4 linked regions of the Saccharomyces cerevisiae S288C genome follow. The protein of the gene in region 1 purifies or fractionates together with the protein of each later gene. This does not show direct contact. Each region holds a gene or a part of one and is shown in the gene's direction. Other genes may lie near its edges.

Evidence for each region.
Region 2: the proteins of BMS1 (region 1) and PWP2 purify together in Saccharomyces cerevisiae (affinity purification with mass spectrometry; 6 studies listed by BioGRID). This does not show direct contact.
Region 3: the proteins of BMS1 (region 1) and ECM16 purify together in Saccharomyces cerevisiae (affinity purification with mass spectrometry; 5 studies listed by BioGRID). This does not show direct contact.
Region 4: the proteins of BMS1 (region 1) and UTP10 purify together in Saccharomyces cerevisiae (affinity purification with mass spectrometry; 6 studies listed by BioGRID). This does not show direct contact.

The regions. Positions count from the first base shown.
Region 1 is NC_001148.4:139,100-144,758, reverse strand, and holds BMS1 (GTPase BMS1), read left to right. Parts: upstream 1-1,587; coding exon 1,588-5,139; downstream 5,140-5,659. Other genes in the region: YPL216W (uncharacterized protein), read right to left, coding at 1-938; Arf family GTPase SAR1, read right to left, coding at 5,350-5,659. UniProt on the Saccharomyces cerevisiae protein: GTPase required for synthesis of 40S ribosomal subunits and for processing the 35S pre-rRNA at sites A0, A1, and A2.
Region 2 is NC_001135.5:219,945-225,191, reverse strand, and holds PWP2 (snoRNA-binding rRNA-processing protein PWP2), read left to right. Parts: upstream 1-1,963; coding exon 1,964-4,735; downstream 4,736-5,247. Other genes in the region: TAH1 (Tah1p), read right to left, coding at 458-793; YIH1 (Yih1p), read left to right, coding at 962-1,738; CTR86 (Ctr86p), read left to right, coding at 5,125-5,247. UniProt on the Saccharomyces cerevisiae protein: Required for bud-site selection and cell separation. Also involved in nucleolar processing of pre-18S ribosomal RNA.
Region 3 is NC_001145.3:521,970-528,022, forward strand, and holds ECM16 (ATP-dependent RNA helicase ECM16), read left to right. Parts: upstream 1-1,726; coding exon 1,727-5,530; downstream 5,531-6,053. Other genes in the region: SAS2 (histone acetyltransferase), read right to left, coding at 360-1,376; POM152 (Pom152p), read left to right, coding at 5,835-6,053. UniProt on the Saccharomyces cerevisiae protein: Probable ATP-binding RNA helicase. Required for 18S rRNA synthesis. May play a role in restructuring of the pre-rRNA.
Region 4 is NC_001142.9:211,496-219,053, reverse strand, and holds UTP10 (snoRNA-binding rRNA-processing protein UTP10), read left to right. Parts: upstream 1-1,744; coding exon 1,745-7,054; downstream 7,055-7,558. Other genes in the region: YJL107C (uncharacterized protein), read left to right, coding at 1-201; pheromone-regulated protein PRM10, read left to right, coding at 198-1,349; GZF3 (Gzf3p), read left to right, coding at 7,477-7,558. UniProt on the Saccharomyces cerevisiae protein: Involved in nucleolar processing of pre-18S ribosomal RNA. Required for optimal pre-ribosomal RNA transcription by RNA polymerase I together with a subset of U3 proteins required for transcription (t-UTPs). Involved in ribosome biosynthesis.

The DNA.
Region 1 (5,659 bases):
ATCTCGTCGTCAATTGCTTTTATTTTAGATAGTGACGTTTCCGACGTTTCCGACGTTTCCGACGTTTCCTTCCAGTCAGCAGGTTCAACATCGCTCTCTGGTGGTATAGTAAGAGGAGTGTAAAGCTCGGAAGAAGATGAGTTCATTCTATCCGGCAAATAATCAATCATATTAGGAGAGCATTTAGGGTTTACATCATATCTTTCTATATATTCTTGTTTCACCCTCCATGGTGCGTGCTCCTTATTCGATACTTTTATGAGTATTTCATTAAGAAAACACGCAATTATGAATTTAGAAAAGTGTGATTCTGGCCTTTTAATTTCATTCTGGCCTACAATTAGGGCCGCACCTTTAGATTCTCGATTCAGGCATTCTGTGATTAAATACAGTGACAATTTTGGGGCAGAAATTTCTCCCTTTTCACTTTCCATCATCCCGTTAGATTGAAACACATCCTTGACAAGGAACAACGTGACATTGTTTTCAATAGTTGGTGATTCTACCAAGTTAGGCTCTCCTTCTTTATAGGTAATCAATGCATTTTTTTGGATAGTTTTCAAGCACACCGTATCGCCTATAAAGAAACGGTTACTAAAACGCTGAAATGCGCTTTCTACAAGGTGTCCTACCTTCCTTATCGGACTGAAGTTTGCGAAATTTGCTATAGCCTTCCTTAGTTCTTTTGGTAAAAGATATCTGACCTTTTCACGGTGCTGTTCTTCGCTTTTTAACGCCTTGAAATACGAAAGGCCATCTTTTCCACTAATCTCACAGGTGAATATATCCCTTTTGTAAAAATCTAGCTTTTTTAAATCACTGTCATAATCATTTATACGCTCGCTACTTTCTTTAATCACCCATGGAGTTTCAGAGAAGGAATCAGCAGACTGTCCTATTTCCTTAGGTTGTATTTTCCTTCTGTTAAGCAGAACCATTTTTGCTTTGAATTTAAAGTACGGCTAGAAGAAGAGCCAAACTAGGGATTGCGATTTTTACTGAATGAAAATGATTGTCTCTCTTACTAAGTCTGCTAACATTTATCAGGTTCATAATGTTTACTATTGAAGTGGCGCGTTACAAGAAAACAAGTCATCCCATATTGAAATGACAACAAATAGAAAAATACACATAATTCCATATCGCTAAATCACACTATCATATACAAAATGGACCAAAGTAAACAAATGTCGATTCATGCAAGTATTGTTACATATCTTGTCACTTTCTCTTCCAAAAGTTGAGGATAGCTGTAAAGGTGCATTTGCTAAACTCTCAGAAACTGCTGGTCCTAAACAATATCAAAACAAATATCAGATAGGTAAGCTTAGATTATTTTAAGGACATGTGAGCCATAGTGCAGATACTCGTACTACTGTTGTAAATATTTCTGTAATTTCAAAGTTGAGATTATCTAGATGAAGTTTTTTTTTTGTTATCGCCTAAGTTTAATGTCCGTACAAATGAAAAATTTTCAAGGCGATGAGCTGAAGTGAAGCTTCAAAATTAAGGAAAGTATTTGCGCTGTTAAGGTAAAAATATCACATAATAGTAGCCTTTAATCAGCCATCTGAGTTATCTGAAACGATGGAGCAGTCTAATAAACAGCACCGTAAGGCGAAGGAGAAGAATACAGCAAAAAAGAAGCTCCATACGCAGGGTCATAATGCAAAGGCCTTTGCCGTGGCAGCCCCAGGTAAGATGGCGAGAACTATGCAAAGGTCAAGTGATGTGAACGAAAGAAAACTGCATGTTCCTATGGTTGATCGTACCCCTGAAGATGATCCGCCTCCATTTATCGTCGCTGTCGTGGGTCCACCTGGAACAGGAAAGACTACTTTGATTCGGTCCCTCGTCAGGAGAATGACAAAAAGCACTTTGAATGATATTCAAGGTCCTATTACTGTTGTCTCTGGTAAACATAGAAGACTAACTTTTTTGGAGTGCCCTGCGGACGATCTGAATGCGATGATTGATATTGCTAAGATTGCCGACTTGGTTCTTTTACTAATTGACGGTAATTTCGGTTTTGAAATGGAAACAATGGAATTCTTAAATATTGCTCAACATCACGGTATGCCAAGAGTACTTGGTGTAGCTACACATCTTGATCTGTTTAAATCTCAGTCAACTTTGAGAGCTTCTAAGAAAAGATTAAAGCACAGATTCTGGACGGAAGTTTATCAAGGTGCAAAATTATTTTACCTATCTGGTGTGATTAATGGAAGGTATCCTGATAGAGAGATTTTAAACCTTTCACGATTTATATCTGTTATGAAATTCAGACCATTAAAATGGAGGAACGAACATCCCTATATGTTGGCTGACAGATTCACAGATTTAACTCATCCGGAATTAATAGAGACTCAAGGACTGCAAATCGACCGCAAAGTCGCTATCTATGGTTATTTGCACGGTACTCCTTTGCCTTCTGCTCCGGGCACTAGGGTGCATATTGCTGGTGTTGGTGATTTCTCAGTAGCACAAATTGAAAAATTACCAGATCCATGTCCCACACCTTTTTACCAACAGAAACTGGATGATTTTGAACGTGAAAAAATGAAAGAAGAGGCAAAGGCTAACGGAGAAATTACAACTGCCTCTACGACAAGAAGACGTAAAAGGTTAGATGATAAAGATAAATTGATATATGCTCCAATGTCCGATGTCGGAGGTGTGTTGATGGATAAGGATGCTGTTTATATTGATATTGGAAAGAAAAATGAAGAGCCAAGTTTTGTTCCCGGCCAAGAAAGAGGTGAAGGAGAAAAACTCATGACGGGTTTACAAAGTGTTGAACAAAGTATTGCAGAGAAATTTGATGGTGTGGGTTTGCAATTGTTTAGCAACGGCACTGAGCTTCATGAAGTTGCCGATCATGAAGGCATGGATGTTGAAAGTGGAGAAGAAAGTATTGAGGACGATGAAGGAAAGAGCAAGGGAAGAACCAGTTTAAGAAAACCAAGAATTTATGGTAAGCCAGTTCAAGAAGAAGACGCAGATATTGATAATTTACCGAGTGATGAAGAACCTTATACAAATGATGACGACGTGCAGGACTCCGAACCAAGGATGGTTGAAATCGATTTCAATAATACCGGTGAGCAGGGTGCCGAAAAATTAGCTTTGGAAACAGATTCTGAATTTGAAGAGAGTGAAGATGAGTTTTCCTGGGAAAGAACAGCGGCAAACAAGCTGAAGAAAACTGAAAGTAAGAAAAGGACCTGGAATATCGGTAAGCTGATATACATGGACAACATTTCACCTGAAGAATGTATAAGAAGGTGGAGGGGCGAGGACGACGATAGTAAAGACGAAAGTGACATTGAAGAAGATGTTGATGATGACTTCTTCAGGAAAAAAGATGGTACTGTTACAAAAGAGGGCAATAAAGACCATGCAGTTGATTTGGAAAAGTTTGTTCCATATTTCGACACTTTCGAAAAATTGGCTAAAAAATGGAAAAGCGTTGATGCAATCAAAGAGCGATTCCTCGGCGCAGGCATTTTAGGTAATGATAATAAAACGAAAAGTGACTCTAATGAAGGTGGGGAAGAACTATACGGCGATTTTGAAGATCTAGAAGATGGAAACCCTTCTGAACAAGCAGAAGACAATAGTGACAAAGAAAGTGAGGATGAGGATGAAAACGAAGACACTAATGGAGATGATGATAATTCATTCACTAATTTTGATGCGGAGGAAAAAAAGGACTTAACCATGGAGCAAGAAAGAGAAATGAATGCTGCAAAGAAGGAAAAACTACGTGCACAATTCGAGATAGAAGAAGGTGAAAACTTTAAAGAAGATGATGAAAACAATGAATATGATACATGGTATGAACTACAGAAGGCCAAGATATCTAAACAGTTAGAAATTAACAATATAGAATATCAAGAAATGACTCCAGAACAACGTCAAAGAATCGAAGGTTTCAAAGCTGGTTCTTATGTACGTATCGTTTTCGAAAAAGTCCCAATGGAATTTGTCAAGAATTTCAATCCAAAATTTCCAATTGTTATGGGTGGTTTATTGCCGACCGAAATAAAGTTCGGTATTGTCAAAGCCAGGTTGAGAAGACATCGTTGGCATAAGAAGATTTTGAAGACAAATGACCCACTGGTCTTGTCTTTGGGTTGGAGAAGGTTCCAAACTTTACCAATTTATACAACAACTGACTCTAGAACAAGAACCAGAATGCTAAAGTATACACCAGAACACACATATTGTAATGCGGCTTTCTACGGTCCCTTATGTTCTCCAAACACACCTTTTTGTGGTGTTCAAATTGTTGCTAATAGTGATACCGGGAACGGTTTTAGAATTGCAGCAACAGGTATCGTTGAAGAGATAGACGTTAATATTGAAATTGTTAAAAAGTTAAAATTAGTTGGGTTTCCATATAAAATTTTCAAAAATACTGCCTTTATAAAGGACATGTTTTCAAGTGCTATGGAAGTTGCAAGGTTTGAGGGTGCGCAGATCAAAACTGTCTCGGGTATCCGTGGTGAAATCAAAAGGGCACTTTCAAAGCCTGAGGGTCACTATAGGGCAGCCTTTGAGGATAAAATCCTAATGAGTGATATTGTAATTCTAAGATCATGGTATCCTGTCCGCGTCAAGAAATTCTATAATCCTGTTACCTCACTATTGTTGAAGGAAAAAACCGAGTGGAAAGGTTTAAGATTGACAGGCCAAATAAGAGCGGCTATGAACCTGGAAACACCGTCGAATCCGGACAGTGCATATCATAAAATAGAACGTGTAGAAAGACACTTCAATGGTCTAAAGGTCCCAAAAGCTGTTCAAAAGGAATTGCCATTCAAATCTCAGATCCATCAAATGAAACCACAAAAGAAGAAAACATATATGGCTAAAAGAGCCGTGGTGCTAGGTGGTGATGAAAAGAAGGCAAGATCATTCATTCAAAAAGTATTGACGATTTCGAAAGCCAAAGACAGCAAGAGGAAGGAACAGAAGGCTAGTCAACGTAAGGAAAGATTGAAAAAATTAGCTAAGATGGAGGAAGAAAAATCACAAAGGGATAAGGAGAAAAAGAAAGAATACTTCGCCCAGAATGGTAAAAGAACAACTATGGGCGGTGACGATGAATCTCGTCCACGTAAGATGAGGAGGTAAACTTTCATGTATATATATATATATACATATATATATGTATACTTAAGATGTATCATACTTTTATTCAATCTTAGAGTCTAAAATATACTATGATCGCGGAAATGCTGTGCTCAAAAGTTATGAGGTGGCATCCTATGCAATTTTGTTGATTATTACAAAGCTGTTGAATTCATGTGAATGTCATATAAAGGGTATAGATGTATACGTCAATTAAATATATTGAGATAACCATTGGAACGCCTCTAAATAACCATTTCTCATAACAACGGAACACATGAAAACTTCAACTGGTCTTTGACCTTCAATTCTTTGAGAGCCAGTGGTATTCAATAATCCTAAAGCAGAACGTAGCTCCGCTTCAGAAACGGCGTTTGGAGCATCGATCTTGTTACCAAGAATTACAAAAGGAACGTCCTTCAATTCGGCAATGTTGAATAAAGCATCTAATTCGACACGTGCTTCATCAAATCTTTCAGGGTCAGCAGCATCGACTAAAAAGACGATACCATTAACTTCTGGG
Region 2 (5,247 bases), on another chromosome or scaffold:
AGATATGTTGCCTTAGTTCCGTTAGTTGCCAATACATGAACTGTATGCCCGCAAAGATGTGCGGGAAATTCTTTACAAGGTAGATATGTATTTAGAAAAGAGAAAAACCAAGGGTGTATAGTTTCGTACTATGAAAATCGAAGTTTTAAGCGGCAAAACACTTGTGTATAGATAATTGTAGTATTATTGTGGTATTTGGTATTTGCAGTATTTTCTTGGCGCTACGATGTGCTTTTTATTTTTGTTTGTTTTATTCTCCTATAGAGTAAGGAGACCTTATATTGTTTTTCTCTTGGTAGAAAGTTGACGCGCGAAGAAAAACATAAAAAAAACTGACAAGATACTACTATTATTAACCATATACACGGAAATACCCACAGAGTATACAAACACACATATATATATATATATATATATAATTTTAAAGATAAATTAGAAGTGTTCCCTTTCTCTTTTCTCAGGACCGGTCGTATCCCTCCGGTAGTTCATCAACCTCTACAACAGGGATCTGTACTGAACCTACCGCTCCCTGTGCCAGCTCTAGACGATATTGCAATTTGGATCTGATAGCTACATGCTCTGCCGTTGAGGTGTACCGCAGTCCTTGCTGGCACATTTGAATAGCCTGTGTATATTCACCCAGTTTGATCAGCGCCATGGCTTTGTTGCTGTACCCGACCGGGTTCTGCGGTTGAGCAGTAATTAGTTGGTCATAACAGTGCACAGCCTCGCGATACAGGCCCTGTTTGAACAAAGAATTGCCCTGTTCCTTCTGCTTTTCAAATTGGCTCATGCTCTTTACCGTTGCTCTCTCTTTCGCAGTGCTGAAAAGAAAAAACCGTTCAAGAAAATTGCGTCTTGTGCAGTCATATACGCTGGGATATATATATATATAGATATATATACATATATATAGGAATATGTAACAAGAAAAAAAAAAGAGAGAGGAAAGAAAAGCTCAATGGATGACGATCACGAACAGTTGGTCGAAGAACTGGAGGCCGTCGAGGCCATCTATCCGGATCTTCTCTCCAAGAAGCAGGAAGACGGAAGCATCATCGTTGTGAAAGTGCCGCAGCATGAATACATGACACTGCAGATCTCCTTCCCGACACACTACCCCTCCGAGGAGGCTCCTAATGTCATCGAAGTTGGTGTCTGCACTTCTTTGGCTAAGCGCGATCTCTACGATACCAAGTACCTTCAGCATTTGTTCCAGGAAGTGATGGACTCTGTTTTCCACCGCGGATCTGTCTGTCTATTTGACTTCCTCACAGAACTCGACGGTGTCTTGTACGTTGAACCAGAGGAGGAGACAGAACCGGTCCAGCAGAGTGACATTCCCACAGACCCCTTCGAGGGCTGGACCGCGTCGGACCCCATTACTGATAGAGGCTCGACTTTCATGGCCTTTGCAGCACATGTTACCTCCGAGGAACAAGCGTTTGCCATGCTAGACCTACTGAAGACCGACTCCAAGATGCGTAAGGCAAACCATGTCATGAGTGCATGGCGAATCAAGCAGGATGGCTCTGCGGCAACATATCAAGATTCCGATGATGACGGTGAAACGGCCGCCGGCTCCAGAATGCTGCACCTCATCACCATCATGGATGTGTGGAACGTCATCGTTGTGGTGGCCCGTTGGTTCGGCGGTGCCCACATAGGTCCCGACCGGTTTAAACACATCAATTCTACGGCAAGAGAAGCTGTTGTCAGGGCCGGCTTCGACTCGTAATCATTATGATTATGTCAAGCACCTGTAACCTTGATCACATGCGACGGGAGTTCTTTTTGAAATTTTTTGGAAAAATTTTGCGATGAGCTGAAAGATGAAAAAAAAAAAAGTTTCGAGTATAGTTCTAGGTATGTACAATAACTAGTATAATATCAATAATAGTAATAATAGTATCGTTTTCAACAGGTAGACAGGAGAGCAGACCGCAGATTGAACCGCATCCCAATGAAATCCGATTTCAAGTTCTCTAACCTTTTAGGTACGGTCTACAGGCAAGGTAACATCACCTTTTCCGATGATGGCAAGCAACTACTCTCACCGGTGGGGAATAGGGTCAGCGTGTTTGACTTAATCAACAACAAATCGTTCACGTTTGAATACGAGCATCGCAAAAATATTGCTGCCATTGATCTGAACAAACAAGGCACATTGCTGATTTCTATTGACGAGGACGGTCGCGCCATCCTTGTCAATTTCAAAGCCCGTAACGTGCTTCACCATTTCAACTTCAAAGAAAAATGCTCCGCTGTGAAGTTCAGCCCTGATGGGAGACTCTTTGCATTAGCCTCAGGCAGGTTTTTACAGATTTGGAAGACTCCAGATGTTAATAAAGACAGACAGTTTGCTCCCTTCGTCCGCCATAGGGTGCATGCGGGACACTTTCAAGACATAACGTCTTTGACGTGGTCACAAGATTCCAGATTTATCCTTACGACTTCCAAAGACTTAAGCGCAAAAATATGGTCCGTAGATTCAGAGGAAAAGAACCTTGCGGCGACAACATTTAATGGGCACAGAGACTACGTTATGGGTGCGTTCTTCAGTCATGATCAGGAAAAAATCTACACTGTAAGCAAAGACGGTGCTGTCTTTGTCTGGGAATTTACCAAGAGGCCATCCGATGACGACGACAATGAAAGTGAAGACGACGACAAGCAAGAAGAAGTAGATATTTCGAAATACAGCTGGAGAATCACAAAGAAACATTTTTTTTACGCAAACCAAGCCAAAGTAAAGTGTGTCACCTTCCATCCAGCAACAAGGCTTTTAGCTGTCGGATTTACTAGTGGGGAATTCCGTCTTTACGATTTGCCTGATTTCACTTTGATTCAACAGCTTTCTATGGGGCAAAACCCAGTCAACACCGTTAGCGTCAACCAAACCGGCGAATGGCTGGCGTTTGGTTCCAGCAAACTGGGCCAATTACTAGTTTACGAATGGCAATCGGAATCGTATATCTTGAAGCAGCAGGGCCATTTCGATTCCACAAATAGTCTTGCATACTCTCCGGATGGTTCACGTGTAGTGACAGCATCCGAAGATGGGAAAATCAAAGTTTGGGACATTACATCAGGGTTTTGTTTGGCCACTTTTGAAGAACACACCTCTTCAGTTACTGCTGTACAGTTTGCGAAAAGGGGTCAGGTCATGTTCTCATCATCGTTAGATGGTACGGTGAGAGCGTGGGACTTAATCAGGTATCGTAATTTTAGAACATTCACTGGTACTGAAAGAATCCAATTCAATTGTTTAGCGGTGGATCCATCAGGTGAAGTGGTTTGTGCCGGGTCCCTGGACAATTTTGACATTCATGTTTGGTCCGTGCAAACTGGTCAATTATTAGATGCTTTGTCCGGACATGAAGGCCCTGTTTCGTGTCTTTCATTTAGTCAAGAGAACAGTGTCTTAGCTTCTGCATCATGGGATAAAACAATTAGAATCTGGTCCATATTTGGTAGAAGCCAACAAGTAGAACCTATAGAAGTTTATTCCGATGTTTTAGCCTTATCAATGAGACCAGATGGTAAAGAAGTTGCAGTATCTACCTTAAAGGGTCAAATATCCATTTTCAACATAGAAGATGCCAAGCAGGTGGGCAACATTGACTGTAGAAAGGATATAATATCTGGTAGGTTTAATCAAGATAGGTTCACTGCCAAAAATTCTGAACGATCCAAATTTTTTACTACAATACATTACAGTTTTGATGGTATGGCTATTGTGGCTGGTGGTAATAATAACTCCATTTGTCTATATGATGTTCCAAATGAAGTCTTGTTAAAAAGATTCATTGTGTCCAGAAACATGGCTTTGAATGGTACTCTCGAATTTTTAAACAGTAAGAAAATGACTGAAGCAGGTTCATTAGATTTGATTGACGATGCAGGCGAAAATTCAGATTTGGAGGATCGTATTGATAATTCTTTACCAGGGTCTCAAAGAGGTGGCGACCTGTCCACAAGAAAAATGAGACCAGAGGTTAGAGTTACTTCGGTGCAATTCTCCCCAACGGCGAATGCATTTGCCGCTGCTTCAACGGAAGGTTTATTGATATATTCCACCAATGACACGATATTATTTGATCCCTTTGATCTGGATGTGGACGTCACCCCCCATTCTACTGTAGAGGCGCTACGAGAAAAGCAGTTTTTAAATGCATTAGTAATGGCGTTCAGGTTAAATGAAGAATATTTGATCAATAAAGTCTATGAAGCCATACCTATTAAGGAAATCCCCTTGGTTGCAAGTAATATTCCTGCAATATATTTACCGAGGATTCTGAAGTTCATCGGTGATTTTGCCATTGAATCCCAACACATTGAGTTTAACCTAATTTGGATCAAAGCTCTATTATCTGCGAGCGGTGGTTACATAAATGAACACAAATATCTCTTCTCGACGGCTATGAGGTCGATACAAAGATTTATTGTTAGAGTGGCTAAGGAAGTAGTCAATACCACTACTGATAACAAATACACCTATAGATTTTTGGTATCAACTGATGGGTCCATGGAAGATGGCGCGGCTGATGATGACGAGGTTCTATTAAAAGATGACGCAGATGAAGATAACGAAGAGAACGAAGAGAACGATGTAGTCATGGAATCTGACGACGAGGAAGGATGGATTGGTTTCAATGGGAAGGATAACAAATTACCCTTGTCTAATGAAAATGATTCCAGTGATGAAGAAGAAAATGAGAAAGAGCTTCCTTGAAAAATATTCACTGTCCTCTATTTATGCACATTCACATCATGTATTCCCCAAGTATAGAACTATATAAAGCATTACATTTGTATTTAATATCAACAAAAAAAAATATCATCGCCAATATCGATATACATCATGATGAGAGCGCCTAATATAAACTGAGGCTACCATTACGGGAGTCGTCCTTTGACTGACGAGGCTATTTTCCTTATATATAAGGCATCATCGCTTCAGTAAAAAAAAAAATAGGAAGGGAAAAAATGAAGAATTGATGGGATGAGGAAAAAATTTGACACAAATTTATCGACTACCGTTTCATACTATCATCGGGAGAACAATTACACTAAGCCTTATAAAATTATTGATTCATCAAAAAAGAAGATAACTAAATAACAATGCCTATGAACAATTTTCTAGATGAATTCAATTTATTTGATTCAATCATTACCATGATGAAGAACGACCCATGTTGCGTCGAGGATTATGAGCCAATCGTCGAAAACCTGAACCGTATATTT
Region 3 (6,053 bases), on another chromosome or scaffold:
GCTAAACCCAGTTCAACATCACCACAAAAGAAGGTTTCCTTTATGCCCTTACCCTTTCTGCCTTCTTATTCTAGAATTTGTTTTGATGCTGTATTTGTTTGGTCCTTGTTCGTCATCGAAAAACCGGCCCAAAAACGGCTAATAAAAACGTGAACCTGTTTTAAGTCTTTTGCTATAAAAGATATTTATACTCTAAAAAAAGGGAAACTTTTGCAGCAAAACAAATTTTATGCATTAGTTCTCTGTTCTTAACTTGGTCAGACAAAATTCGTCCGTTTGTAGTTGTCTGTACAGGAATTCATCGAGCGATATTCTATCCTGAAATACATATGCCATTAAGTTACATCCTGAATAGATTCCTAGTCATCTATCAGCAAATATTCATCTTTTAATTTGAACCAATTCCGTTTTGTTCCATGTAGTTTCAACCAGCTATTCAATGACTGCAAGTAAATTTGGTTATTCTCCCCAATACAGTTCAAGTGCTTCAAGGTCAAAATAACATCATTGACTCTCATTCCAGTCACGATGGAAAGATCCTCCAGGGTCACTTTATCATAATGGGCGAGGTCACCTTCAATAAGGTGCCAACAGAGTATCTGTGACCAATATTTCAAGTACCCGATTAGTCCAAAAGGTGATAACGGTACTTCTGGCCCTGATATTACACCTTCTAATTGGGATAGTTTGTATGAAAACTCGATAAGTAAAAGGCCTAATCCACGTCGTTGATATGGGGGAAATATCAAGATGCACGCTAGATTATTTTGCTGATATGACACTAAATCTTTCGAAAAGAATCCCATCGGCTTTGTTGATCCAGTTTCATAAACTATGTAAAATTCATAATGATCTACTTTGAAATACATGGATTTATTGTCCAGATATAGCTTAGTGAAAAGACAAAGACATTGGCAAAAGAGTTGATACTTGGATCCTTTTACTCTTCTTATTGTATATTCAGGACTCTTGTATTTTATTTTGCCTGGAACACGATATTGAAATGGACAACTTGCAACATGTCCTACAAACCGCGTCTGATCATCCGTGTATTTGAAGCAGTATTCACAAACGAAAAGAGTGTCTAGCCAGTATTGGCTGTTAGAAACAGAGGAAAGCTGACCCTTGGTCTCGGAGCACCCTAGCCTTTTTGTTTCAGGATCGAAATAAACGGCGCTCCCATACCAAGTAGAGAATTTTTTATTCAGTCCAAACTGAATCTGTCTTATGTTCCTTTCGTTCAGTATTCCATATAGCATCTCTTTTTGAGTTTTTTTAATTTTTGCTGAGGGCTTATTCTTGCCTTTTCCACCATTCTTCTTTCCTTTTAGCTTCTGGGTAGTCGCTGTGAGTGATTGACTTAAAGATCTTGCCATTTTTTTTGCGAGTGAAAACAAAAAGCAACTAGAAAATAGGAGCCTCCAATATCAAAAAATCAAACTTCAATTTAACAGATTCTTAGAGCGCTACATACTCTATCCAGTTCGATATGGACAAGACTTAATGATTTCATCATCTCTTCTGATTAACGATTCTGTTATTCTTCATATTTACGCGCCTAACATATCATGATGATTGGGTGTTCCGAAAATTTTCATTGGCGATGAGCTGAGTATTGAAAGCTCATTATAGTATTAGTATATTATTGTTAATAGCAAGTGCTATATGCTATAAAAATGCAATTACAACCCAATACTAATAATAGAGTGTCTTAAGAAATATAAGTATGGGTACTTACAGAAAAAGGTTTAATGAAAAAGCCAGATCCGGCCATATGGCCAAATTAAAAGAACTGAAAAGAATTAGGAATAAGCAGTTCACTAGACAGGATGAAAACGATGAAAGAGTAGAAAACCCAGATTCAGCTCCCGCTGAGAGTTCTACTACGGAGCCAAATGCCAATGCGGAAATTCTTGAACCTCTCACTGAAGAAGAAAAGAAAATGAAGAAAAGAAAACTACAGGAGTTATTTACCCCAAAGGAATCGAAAGTTTCGAGATTGAAGAAGAAAAGACTGGATAAATTTATTGAACATCAATTAAAAAGAGAGGAAAGAAAGACAATTATTGGTAAACTTCAAGATTATAAGATAGATACAAGTTTGTTGACAAGCTCTAAAAGGTTAGGAGAGGGCAGGCAGACTAAAAAGGAAGAATTCAAAGAAGCACTGAGTTTAGAACGTCAAGGAAGAGGAAATGAACAAACAAATGAAATATTATACGAAGAATATGAACCAAAAGTTTGGGATGAGTATGGTGAAGGAGGGAGCTCTGAGGATGATGACGGCGAAGATGATTTCGAGGCTTCATTTGGTAGTATGCCGAAACCAACGGACAATGAGGAGAAGAAATCATCAGGTTTTATTGATCATAGACCAGCAAAATTTGGTGGATCTGGTCTTAGCTTTGGGTTTAGCAATATAAAAGTCATAAACAAAGAAAGCAAAACTCCGAAGAAGAAATATAATTGGAGACAACGAGTAGAAATGGAAGAATTGAAGAAGCATGGGAAAGAAGATGAAATGGATTTCGACACGACATCTGAAGATGATGACGAAGAGGAGGATCAGGAAGAAGAAGACAAAATGCATCCTAGTGAAAACCCACTCGAAGAAGTTGAAAGCGCAGATAGTGAAACTGGCTCAGAAAAATTTGACCAAAATGATGTTGCTAACGAATTCAAGGATTGGGCCAATCAAGAAATAAAAAAATTGGAAGGTAGAGATCAAGAGCTAGTTACTCCCACTTTGAACATCGATTATAAACCGATAATTAGAAAGGAAGATTTAGATGATGGTCTCCAAGAAGCTTATGTTCCAATAAACGAGAATTCCACCCGTAAAGCCTTCTATGTTGAAGTTAGCAGATCAGATGAAATTCAGAAAGCAAGAATTCAACTACCAGTATTTGGTGAAGAACACAAAATTATGGAGGCTATTCACCATAATGATGTAGTGATTATTTGTGGTGAAACGGGGTCAGGTAAGACTACACAAGTCCCACAATTTTTATATGAGGCTGGGTTTGGTGCCGAAGATTCTCCAGATTACCCAGGAATGGTGGGTATCACTCAACCAAGAAGAGTGGCCGCTGTGTCCATGGCTGAACGTGTAGCTAATGAATTGGGGGACCATGGTCATAAAGTAGGATACCAAATTAGGTTTGACTCTACCGCAAAGGAGGACACAAAGGTCAAGTTTATGACAGATGGTGTCTTGCTACGAGAAATGATGCACGATTTCAAGTTGACTAAATATTCCTCCATTATCATAGATGAAGCACATGAAAGAAACATTAACACTGATATTTTGATCGGTATGCTTAGCCGTTGTGTTCGGTTAAGAGCTAAACTACATAAGGAGAACCCGATCGAGCACAAGAAGCTAAAACTCATCATCATGTCAGCTACATTAAGGGTATCAGATTTCAGCGAAAACAAAACATTGTTCCCCATAGCGCCCCCTGTCTTACAGGTTGATGCAAGGCAGTTTCCAGTCTCTATTCACTTTAATCGTAGAACTGCATTCAACTATACAGACGAGGCTTTCAGAAAGACTTGCAAAATTCACCAGAAACTTCCTCCTGGCGCTATATTGGTGTTTTTAACCGGTCAGCAGGAAATTACACACATGGTAAAAAGGCTAAGAAAGGAATTTCCTTTTAAGAAAAACTCCAAGTACAACAAAGATTTAGAAACACCCGTTTCTAAAATGGGTATCAATTCAAAAACAACAGATTTGGAGGCTGAGGATATAGACTTCAGTGTACAAGTTATCGATCAAGATAAGTTCAAGAGCGCGATAAGATACGAAGAAGATGAAGGTAACAGTGGAAACGGTGAAGATGAGGAAGACGAAGAGGAAGAAGGGTTTGAAGAAGTCCTAACTGAAGGGCAAACAGCTAACGATCCTTTATATGTCCTTCCACTGTATTCTCTATTACCAACCAAGGAACAAATGAGAGTCTTTCAAAAACCTCCTCAAGGTTCTAGGCTTTGTATTGTTGCAACAAATGTTGCAGAAACATCGTTAACTATACCTGGAGTTAGATATGTTGTTGATTCCGGGAGGTCTAAAGAGCGTAAATATAATGAATCAAATGGCGTACAGAGTTTTGAAGTGGGCTGGGTAAGTAAAGCTAGTGCCAATCAAAGAAGCGGTAGAGCAGGTCGTACTGGACCAGGCCATTGTTACCGTTTATATTCGTCTGCTGTTTTTGAACATGATTTCGAACAGTTCTCTAAACCTGAAATCTTAAGAATGCCAGTGGAGAGCATCGTGTTACAAATGAAGAGCATGGCCATTCATAATATCATTAATTTTCCATTTCCAACTCCTCCAGATAGAGTTGCCCTTTCCAAGGCAATACAATTACTGCAATATTTAGGTGCTCTTGATAATAAGGAGATGATTACTGAAGATGGTAAAAAAATGAGCCTGTTCCCACTTTCACCCAGATTTTCCAAAATGTTACTTGTTTCTGACGAAAAAGCCTGCCTTCCTTATATTGTAGCAATTGTTAGTGCCCTTTCGGTGGGAGATCCTTTTATCAATGAATTTGAGTTGGGAATAAACGAAATTTCTAGAAAACCAAATCCAGATGAAAATCTAGATGATAAGATTAGAGAGCACGATGAATCAACACCAGGTATGGATCCTGAACTGAAAAAGGAATTGCGCAGTAAATTCTATAAAAGCAGGAGTCAGTTTAGTAAATTAGACAAATTTAGTGACGTATTCCGTTTATTAAGTGTTGTAAGTGCAATGGACTACGTTCCAAAGGAACAAAAAGAAATATTCATGAAGAAAAATTTTTTAAGAGGCAAACTAATGGAAGAAATAGTAAAATTGAGGAAGCAGTTAATGTATATCATCAAGTCCAACACTTCAAAAGAAAATATTGCCGTAGTAATTAGGAATGAAGACTTGAAAAGTGATATTCCAAGCGTCATACAAATAAAACTTTTAAAACAAATGATTTGCGCTGGTTTTGTCGACCATGTTGCCGTAAGAGCAGATGTTTTATTTCCAGATGATGCTAAGATAACCAACAGAACTTCCATAATCAACATTCCTTATATTCCTGTTTTGGCCACGAGAACACCAAATATCGAGGACTGCTTTGTCTATATCCATCCGACTTCAATTTTAAATAATTTGGGGGAAATGCCACCCAAATACATGCTCTATTATTCCTTGCACCTTGGTGGAAATAATAAAACAAGGATGAATACTTTATGTGACATCGCAAGCACCCCCTTAGCGAACATAGCAAGAAAGGGACTTCTTTTGACATACAGTAAACCTCTGACTGGTCAAGGCTTGAAGACCGTTAATTTATCACCTACGGAACGGTATTGTTATGTGGTTCCTAGATTTGGATCCACAGTTGACAACGATCTCAAGATTGGTTGGGATTTAAATCCTATAGCAGTGCATCAGAAGAAGCAAAAAGGCCAGTGGACAGTCATTAAGTTTATCACCAGAAAGGGCTTCCAGACCATCACAGGTGAAGAGAAAGAAAAAAAATAATGCGCTGGTATTATAGAAATAGAGTTTCATTATATAAGAACATATAGGAAGAATACATTATTCCTATCTAGGGCATCAAATAATTGCAACCACTTAATGTTAACTTCCTTCATAATTCAAAACATTATGTTCTATAGCACTATGTATTTTATGTCATTATATACGTAGTCAATAACTTTATACGTTTTTTTTATTGAACAAAAGTAAGAATTGCTTAAGACATAATAAGAGGAAACTCATCGAACCAATTCAAAACGGATTATAGATTTATCATACCAGATACGTTTATCAGGAGGCTTGTATAATGGAGCACAGATATAACGTGTTTAATGATACTCCACGAGGGAACCATTGGATGGGCAGTTCTGTGTCAGGATCACCACGTCCATCTTATAGCAGTCGTCCTAATGTAAACACAACACGACGCTTCCAATATAGTGACGATGAGCCCGCTGAGAAAATCCGACCTTTACGCTCGAGGAGCTTTAAAAGTACTGAAAGTAACATAAGCGATGAAAAATCA
Region 4 (7,558 bases), on another chromosome or scaffold:
AGACTGAAGAAAAGACTAAAAACTGAAGCGAAAATTACGGTTCACATTGCAGACATTTTACAAAGACACCGGTTCATCCTACGCATGTGTAGAGCTCTTATGATGTATGGTGCTCCGACGCATAGGCTTGAAGAATATATGGTTATGACTTCTAGAGTCCTTGAAATAGATGGTCAGTTTTGTATCTTCCAGGTTGTATGATTGTTTCATTTGGTGATGCAACAACAAGAACTTCCGAAGTTCAATTGGTTAGGTGTACTCAAGGTCTAAACCTTTGGAAGCTGCATCAAGTTCATGCCGTTTACAAAAGAGTTGTCCATGATACCTTAGGTGCCGATGAAGGTAATGCTTTACTCGATCAAATTTTGGCTGACACGAATCTATATCCACCTTGGATGTGTGTTCTTTTATATGCATTTTGTTCCGCTATGGTCACTCCGTATGCCTTTGGTGGCGATTGGGTAAACCTGGCAATCTCATTTTTTATGGGGCTTTGTGTGGGGTCATTACAATTTATTCTTTCACAAAAGTCATACATGTATTCAAACGTCTTCGAAATTTCTGCATCTATTGTCGTTAGCTTCTGCGGTAGAGCTTTTGGCTCTATCCCTCGTTCTCACATCTGCTTTGGTGCAGTTACACAAGGCTCATTGGCATTAATCCTGCCAGGTTATATTATTCTGTGTGGTGCACTAGAACTGCAAAGTCGAAGCCTAGTTGCTGGCGCGGTCCGTATGTTCTACGCCATTATTTATTCTTTGTTTTTGGGTTTTGGCATAACATTGGGCTCAGCTTTGTTTGGATGGATGTATCACAATGCCACTAACGAAATTTCATGTCCTCAATTAATTTCTCCGTGGTTCAGGTTCCTCTTCGTTCCAGCGTTTACCATTAGTATCTCGTTATTAAATCAAGCACACATCTCACAACTGCCAGTTATGGTCTTCATTTCTTGCACCGGTTATGTCGTAACATATTGGGCCGGTAAGCATTTTGCGAATTCGACAGAGTTTACTGCCGCCTTAGCTGCATTTGTCATAGGTGTTTTAGGTAATCTATATTCCAGAATTTGGAAAGGTTTAGCGGTATCAGCTATGCTTCCCGCAATCTTCGTTCAAGTGCCATCTGGTATTGCTTCACAAAATTCGTTGTTGTCTGGGTTGCAAAGTGCAAATACAATTGTTAATGCTAATGAAACCATTACGACAAGCACCTCCGATCCATCGTCCTCAATGTCATTTGGTATGACAATGATTCAAGTTTGTGTCGGTATTTCTGTGGGACTATTTGCTTCTTCACTCTTTGTCTACCCCTTTGGTAAAAAGAAAACTGGTCTTTTCAGTTTATAAGCTCTCACAAGGTCCACTTCGTTAGAAACTTGTTAACCAATGGACCAAGTGTTGCCATTGGGTCATTCTTCAGTATCAAAGAAGACTTTGACCCACTAAGAAAAATTTCAAAAGTAAATTATAAATATAGCATTAAGTACAAATAACATATCAGCTTATGAATCCTTTTTTTCAATTTTATGGTTTCATAGCCAATAATCATAACATACATAGATTAATAATATTCAAGTCACATGACTTTTTTTTTTTTCTTTTTTCTTTCTGCGTTAAGCAAAGAAAAAAATTTTCAGTTAGCGATGAGCTAGATATTTTCGAAGGTGTAACAAATACTTTCTTTATTACCTTTCAGAATCAGACTTATCTAACTGGCCACCAAAGTACGAATAACTTTGAAAATGTCTTCGTTGAGTGACCAATTAGCTCAAGTTGCTTCCAACAATGCTACTGTTGCGTTGGATAGAAAGAGAAGACAAAAACTTCATTCTGCTTCTTTGATTTATAACTCAAAGACGGCTGCAACACAAGATTACGATTTCATTTTTGAAAACGCTAGTAAGGCTCTTGAAGAATTGAGCCAAATTGAGCCAAAATTTGCCATTTTCTCAAGAACACTCTTTTCAGAGTCTTCCATTTCTCTTGATAGAAATGTCCAAACAAAAGAAGAAATTAAAGATTTGGATAATGCTATCAATGCTTACTTGCTATTGGCTTCTTCTAAATGGTATTTAGCACCTACACTACATGCAACAGAATGGTTGGTTCGTCGTTTTCAAATACATGTTAAAAACACAGAGATGCTGCTTTTGTCCACTCTCAACTACTACCAAACACCTGTCTTTAAGAGAATTCTCAGCATTATTAAGTTGCCCCCTTTGTTTAATTGTTTGTCGAATTTTGTTAGAAGTGAAAAGCCCCCAACGGCGCTAACCATGATAAAGCTCTTTAATGACATGGATTTTCTGAAACTTTATACCAGTTATTTGGATCAATGTATTAAGCATAATGCAACGTATACTAACCAGCTTTTATTTACAACATGCTGCTTTATTAACGTTGTTGCTTTCAATTCAAACAACGATGAAAAACTGAATCAGCTTGTTCCAATCTTACTTGAAATATCTGCTAAACTTTTAGCCTCTAAATCAAAGGATTGTCAAATAGCTGCACATACCATATTAGTTGTATTTGCTACAGCTTTGCCTTTAAAGAAAACAATTATCTTAGCTGCCATGGAAACCATTCTTTCAAACTTAGATGCTAAAGAGGCAAAACATTCAGCACTCCTCACGATTTGTAAGCTGTTCCAAACATTAAAAGGACAAGGTAACGTAGATCAGCTACCTTCCAAAATTTTCAAGTTATTTGATAGCAAGTTCGACACTGTGTCTATACTAACCTTCTTAGATAAGGAAGACAAACCAGTTTGTGATAAATTCATTACTTCCTATACAAGATCCATAGCAAGGTATGATCGGTCCAAATTGAACATTATTCTTAGCCTACTAAAAAAAATAAGACTAGAAAGATACGAAGTTAGGTTGATAATCACTGATTTGATTTACCTTTCCGAAATTTTAGAGGACAAGTCACAATTAGTAGAACTATTCGAATATTTTATCTCCATAAATGAAGATTTGGTGTTAAAATGTTTGAAATCATTGGGACTGACAGGCGAACTCTTCGAAATCAGGCTTACTACATCTTTGTTCACTAATGCCGATGTTAACACCGACATTGTAAAGCAGTTAAGCGACCCCGTGGAAACTACTAAAAAGGATACCGCTTCATTTCAAACATTCTTGGATAAGCATTCAGAATTGATAAACACAACGAATGTGTCCATGCTAACAGAAACTGGAGAAAGATACAAAAAGGTTTTATCTTTATTCACTGAAGCTATTGGTAAAGGCTATAAAGCAAGTTCCTTCTTGACTTCATTTTTCACTACTTTAGAATCAAGAATAACGTTTTTGTTAAGAGTAACTATATCTCCAGCCGCTCCAACCGCGCTAAAGCTAATATCTTTAAACAATATTGCAAAATATATTAATAGTATTGAAAAGGAAGTTAATATTTTTACTTTAGTTCCATGCTTGATTTGCGCTTTGCGAGATGCTTCTATAAAAGTTAGGACTGGCGTGAAGAAGATTCTTTCCTTGATTGCTAAAAGACCATCCACTAAGCACTACTTTTTGTCTGATAAACTTTACGGAGAGAACGTTACCATTCCTATGTTAAATCCCAAAGATAGTGAGGCATGGTTATCAGGATTTTTGAATGAGTACGTTACTGAGAATTATGACATATCCAGAATTTTAACGCCAAAGAGAAATGAAAAAGTCTTTTTGATGTTTTGGGCTAATCAAGCCCTACTAATACCTTCTCCGTATGCCAAGACAGTGTTGTTGGATAACCTGAACAAGAGTCCGACTTATGCATCTTCTTATTCCTCCCTATTTGAGGAATTTATTTCCCACTACTTAGAAAACAGATCTAGTTGGGAAAAGAGTTGTATTGCTAATAAAACAAACTTTGAGCATTTTGAGCGCTCTTTAGTTAATTTGGTATCACCAAAAGAAAAGCAGTCATTCATGATCGATTTTGTTCTCAGTGCTCTTAACTCAGATTATGAGCAGTTAGCTAACATAGCTGCCGAGAGGCTTATCAGCATATTCGCTTCATTAAATAATGCTCAAAAACTAAAAATCGTCCAAAATATCGTGGATTCTTCGAGTAACGTAGAATCATCGTACGATACAGTCGGTGTACTACAATCATTGCCGTTAGATTCCGATATTTTTGTATCCATACTAAATCAAAACAGTATCAGTAACGAAATGGATCAGACAGACTTTTCTAAAAGAAGAAGAAGACGTTCATCAACAAGTAAAAACGCATTTTTGAAAGAGGAGGTTTCGCAACTGGCGGAATTGCACCTGAGAAAGTTGACGATTATTTTGGAAGCACTTGATAAAGTCAGAAATGTTGGATCCGAAAAGCTTTTGTTCACTTTACTTTCCTTATTATCAGATCTGGAAACTTTGGATCAAGACGGTGGATTACCGGTTTTATATGCGCAAGAAACTTTGATTTCTTGTACGCTGAACACTATCACATACTTGAAGGAACATGGCTGTACAGAACTAACCAACGTAAGGGCAGATATATTGGTATCCGCTATTAGAAATTCTGCATCTCCGCAAGTCCAAAACAAACTATTACTTGTAATTGGATCTCTTGCTACTTTAAGTTCGGAAGTTATTTTGCATTCTGTAATGCCTATCTTTACTTTTATGGGAGCCCATAGTATTCGTCAAGATGATGAATTCACAACTAAAGTTGTTGAGCGTACGATACTAACTGTTGTCCCTGCCTTGATCAAGAATAGCAAAGGAAATGAAAAAGAGGAAATGGAGTTCCTTTTGTTGAGCTTCACAACCGCTTTGCAACATGTTCCAAGACATAGGAGGGTTAAATTATTTTCTACGTTAATCAAAACACTTGATCCAGTAAAGGCACTGGGCTCGTTCCTTTTCTTGATTGCACAACAGTATTCTTCAGCTTTAGTCAACTTTAAAATTGGCGAGGCAAGAATATTAATTGAGTTTATTAAGGCCCTACTCGTTGATCTACATGTCAATGAGGAATTATCAGGTTTGAATGACTTACTCGATATCATCAAATTGTTGACATCATCAAAGAGCTCCTCGGAAAAGAAGAAATCACTAGAATCCCGTGTCTTGTTTTCAAATGGTGTCTTGAATTTTTCGGAAAGTGAATTTTTGACATTTATGAACAATACCTTTGAGTTTATCAATAAAATAACCGAGGAAACAGATCAAGATTATTACGATGTGAGGAGAAATTTAAGACTAAAGGTATATTCTGTTTTGTTAGATGAAACAAGCGATAAAAAGTTAATTAGAAACATCAGGGAAGAATTTGGAACCCTTTTAGAAGGTGTTCTTTTTTTCATTAATTCTGTAGAATTAACCTTTTCATGTATAACTTCCCAAGAAAATGAGGAAGCTTCCGACTCTGAAACATCATTATCAGATCACACGACTGAAATAAAGGAGATTCTATTCAAGGTGCTTGGCAATGTGTTACAAATTCTACCAGTTGACGAGTTTGTTAATGCGGTATTACCCTTACTCAGTACATCCACTAATGAAGATATTAGATACCACCTAACGTTGGTAATAGGGTCCAAATTCGAGTTAGAAGGCTCTGAAGCTATTCCTATAGTTAACAATGTGATGAAGGTTTTGCTCGACAGAATGCCTTTGGAATCTAAATCTGTTGTTATTTCTCAAGTAATATTGAACACGATGACGGCTTTAGTGAGCAAATATGGTAAGAAGCTTGAGGGGTCCATATTAACTCAAGCCCTCACCCTTGCTACTGAAAAAGTTAGTTCTGATATGACAGAGGTCAAGATATCTTCGTTGGCATTGATAACTAACTGTGTTCAAGTTTTAGGAGTCAAGTCAATTGCGTTCTATCCAAAAATAGTCCCACCTTCTATTAAATTATTTGATGCTTCATTGGCAGATAGTAGTAACCCATTAAAAGAGCAGTTGCAAGTTGCTATACTGTTGCTGTTCGCCGGTCTAATCAAAAGGATACCAAGTTTCTTGATGTCAAATATTTTGGATGTTTTGCATGTTATTTATTTTTCCCGTGAAGTTGACAGCAGCATTAGGCTGTCAGTAATTTCATTGATAATTGAGAATATAGATTTGAAGGAAGTTTTGAAAGTTTTATTCAGAATTTGGTCCACTGAAATAGCAACGTCCAATGATACAGTTGCTGTTAGTCTATTTTTGAGTACATTAGAATCCACTGTTGAAAATATTGATAAAAAATCCGCAACCTCACAATCGCCAATATTTTTTAAGTTACTATTATCTTTATTCGAATTTAGATCCATTTCCAGTTTCGATAATAATACAATTAGTAGGATAGAGGCATCCGTTCACGAAATTTCCAACTCTTACGTCCTGAAGATGAATGACAAAGTATTTAGACCGCTATTTGTTATATTAGTAAGATGGGCGTTTGACGGTGAAGGCGTTACAAATGCAGGTATCACTGAAACAGAAAGACTGTTGGCATTTTTCAAATTTTTCAACAAGCTTCAAGAAAATTTGAGAGGTATAATTACTTCCTATTTCACGTATTTGTTAGAACCTGTTGATATGTTGTTAAAAAGATTCATTAGCAAGGACATGGAAAACGTTAATTTAAGACGTTTGGTAATCAACTCTCTAACCTCTTCGCTAAAGTTTGATAGAGACGAATACTGGAAATCAACTTCCAGATTCGAGTTAATTTCTGTATCCTTGGTCAATCAACTATCTAATATAGAAAACTCTATTGGGAAGTACCTGGTCAAGGCAATTGGCGCTCTGGCTTCTAACAATAGTGGCGTTGATGAGCATAACCAAATTTTGAATAAACTAATCGTTGAACACATGAAAGCTTCCTGTTCCTCCAATGAAAAATTATGGGCTATTAGAGCCATGAAGTTGATATACTCAAAGATAGGTGAAAGTTGGTTAGTTCTATTGCCACAGCTCGTTCCCGTCATCGCTGAGTTATTGGAAGATGATGATGAAGAGATCGAACGTGAAGTCAGGACCGGTTTGGTCAAGGTTGTTGAAAACGTTTTAGGGGAACCTTTTGATAGGTATTTAGATTAGAAAAAAAAGGTGAAGTATTATGTAAATTTTTGTAAAGTAAAACACTATGCTGTTGAACGAAATCTTTCATTGAAAATATTGTTATTCATTCGTGATAGCTGCCCCTTTCTGAGTTTGAACTTAATATTTCAATTACGCTACTTCAAGTTTCAATGAGATATTATTCTGTCATCTTTCTCGTCGTTCCTAGTGATTAACGTTACTAAAATTACTGATCCTAAATAGCGGGCGAACAGAGTGAAAATTTTCTTATCTTCGCTTATCTGCGCTTATCAATCCTAATCAGTGAAAAATAAGATATAGGCTTGATAATAAGGTAGTTTGAAAGAGAACATATTGCAAGCGGTTGAAGCTATAATACTAGATATACGAATATCATTTCGGGTATTTGTACTGTGCTCTACAATTCTACTGGTAATATTATGGCATCGCAGGCTACAACTCTTCGAGGCTATAACATTAGAAAACGAGATAATGTATTTGAACCAAAATCAAGTGAAAACC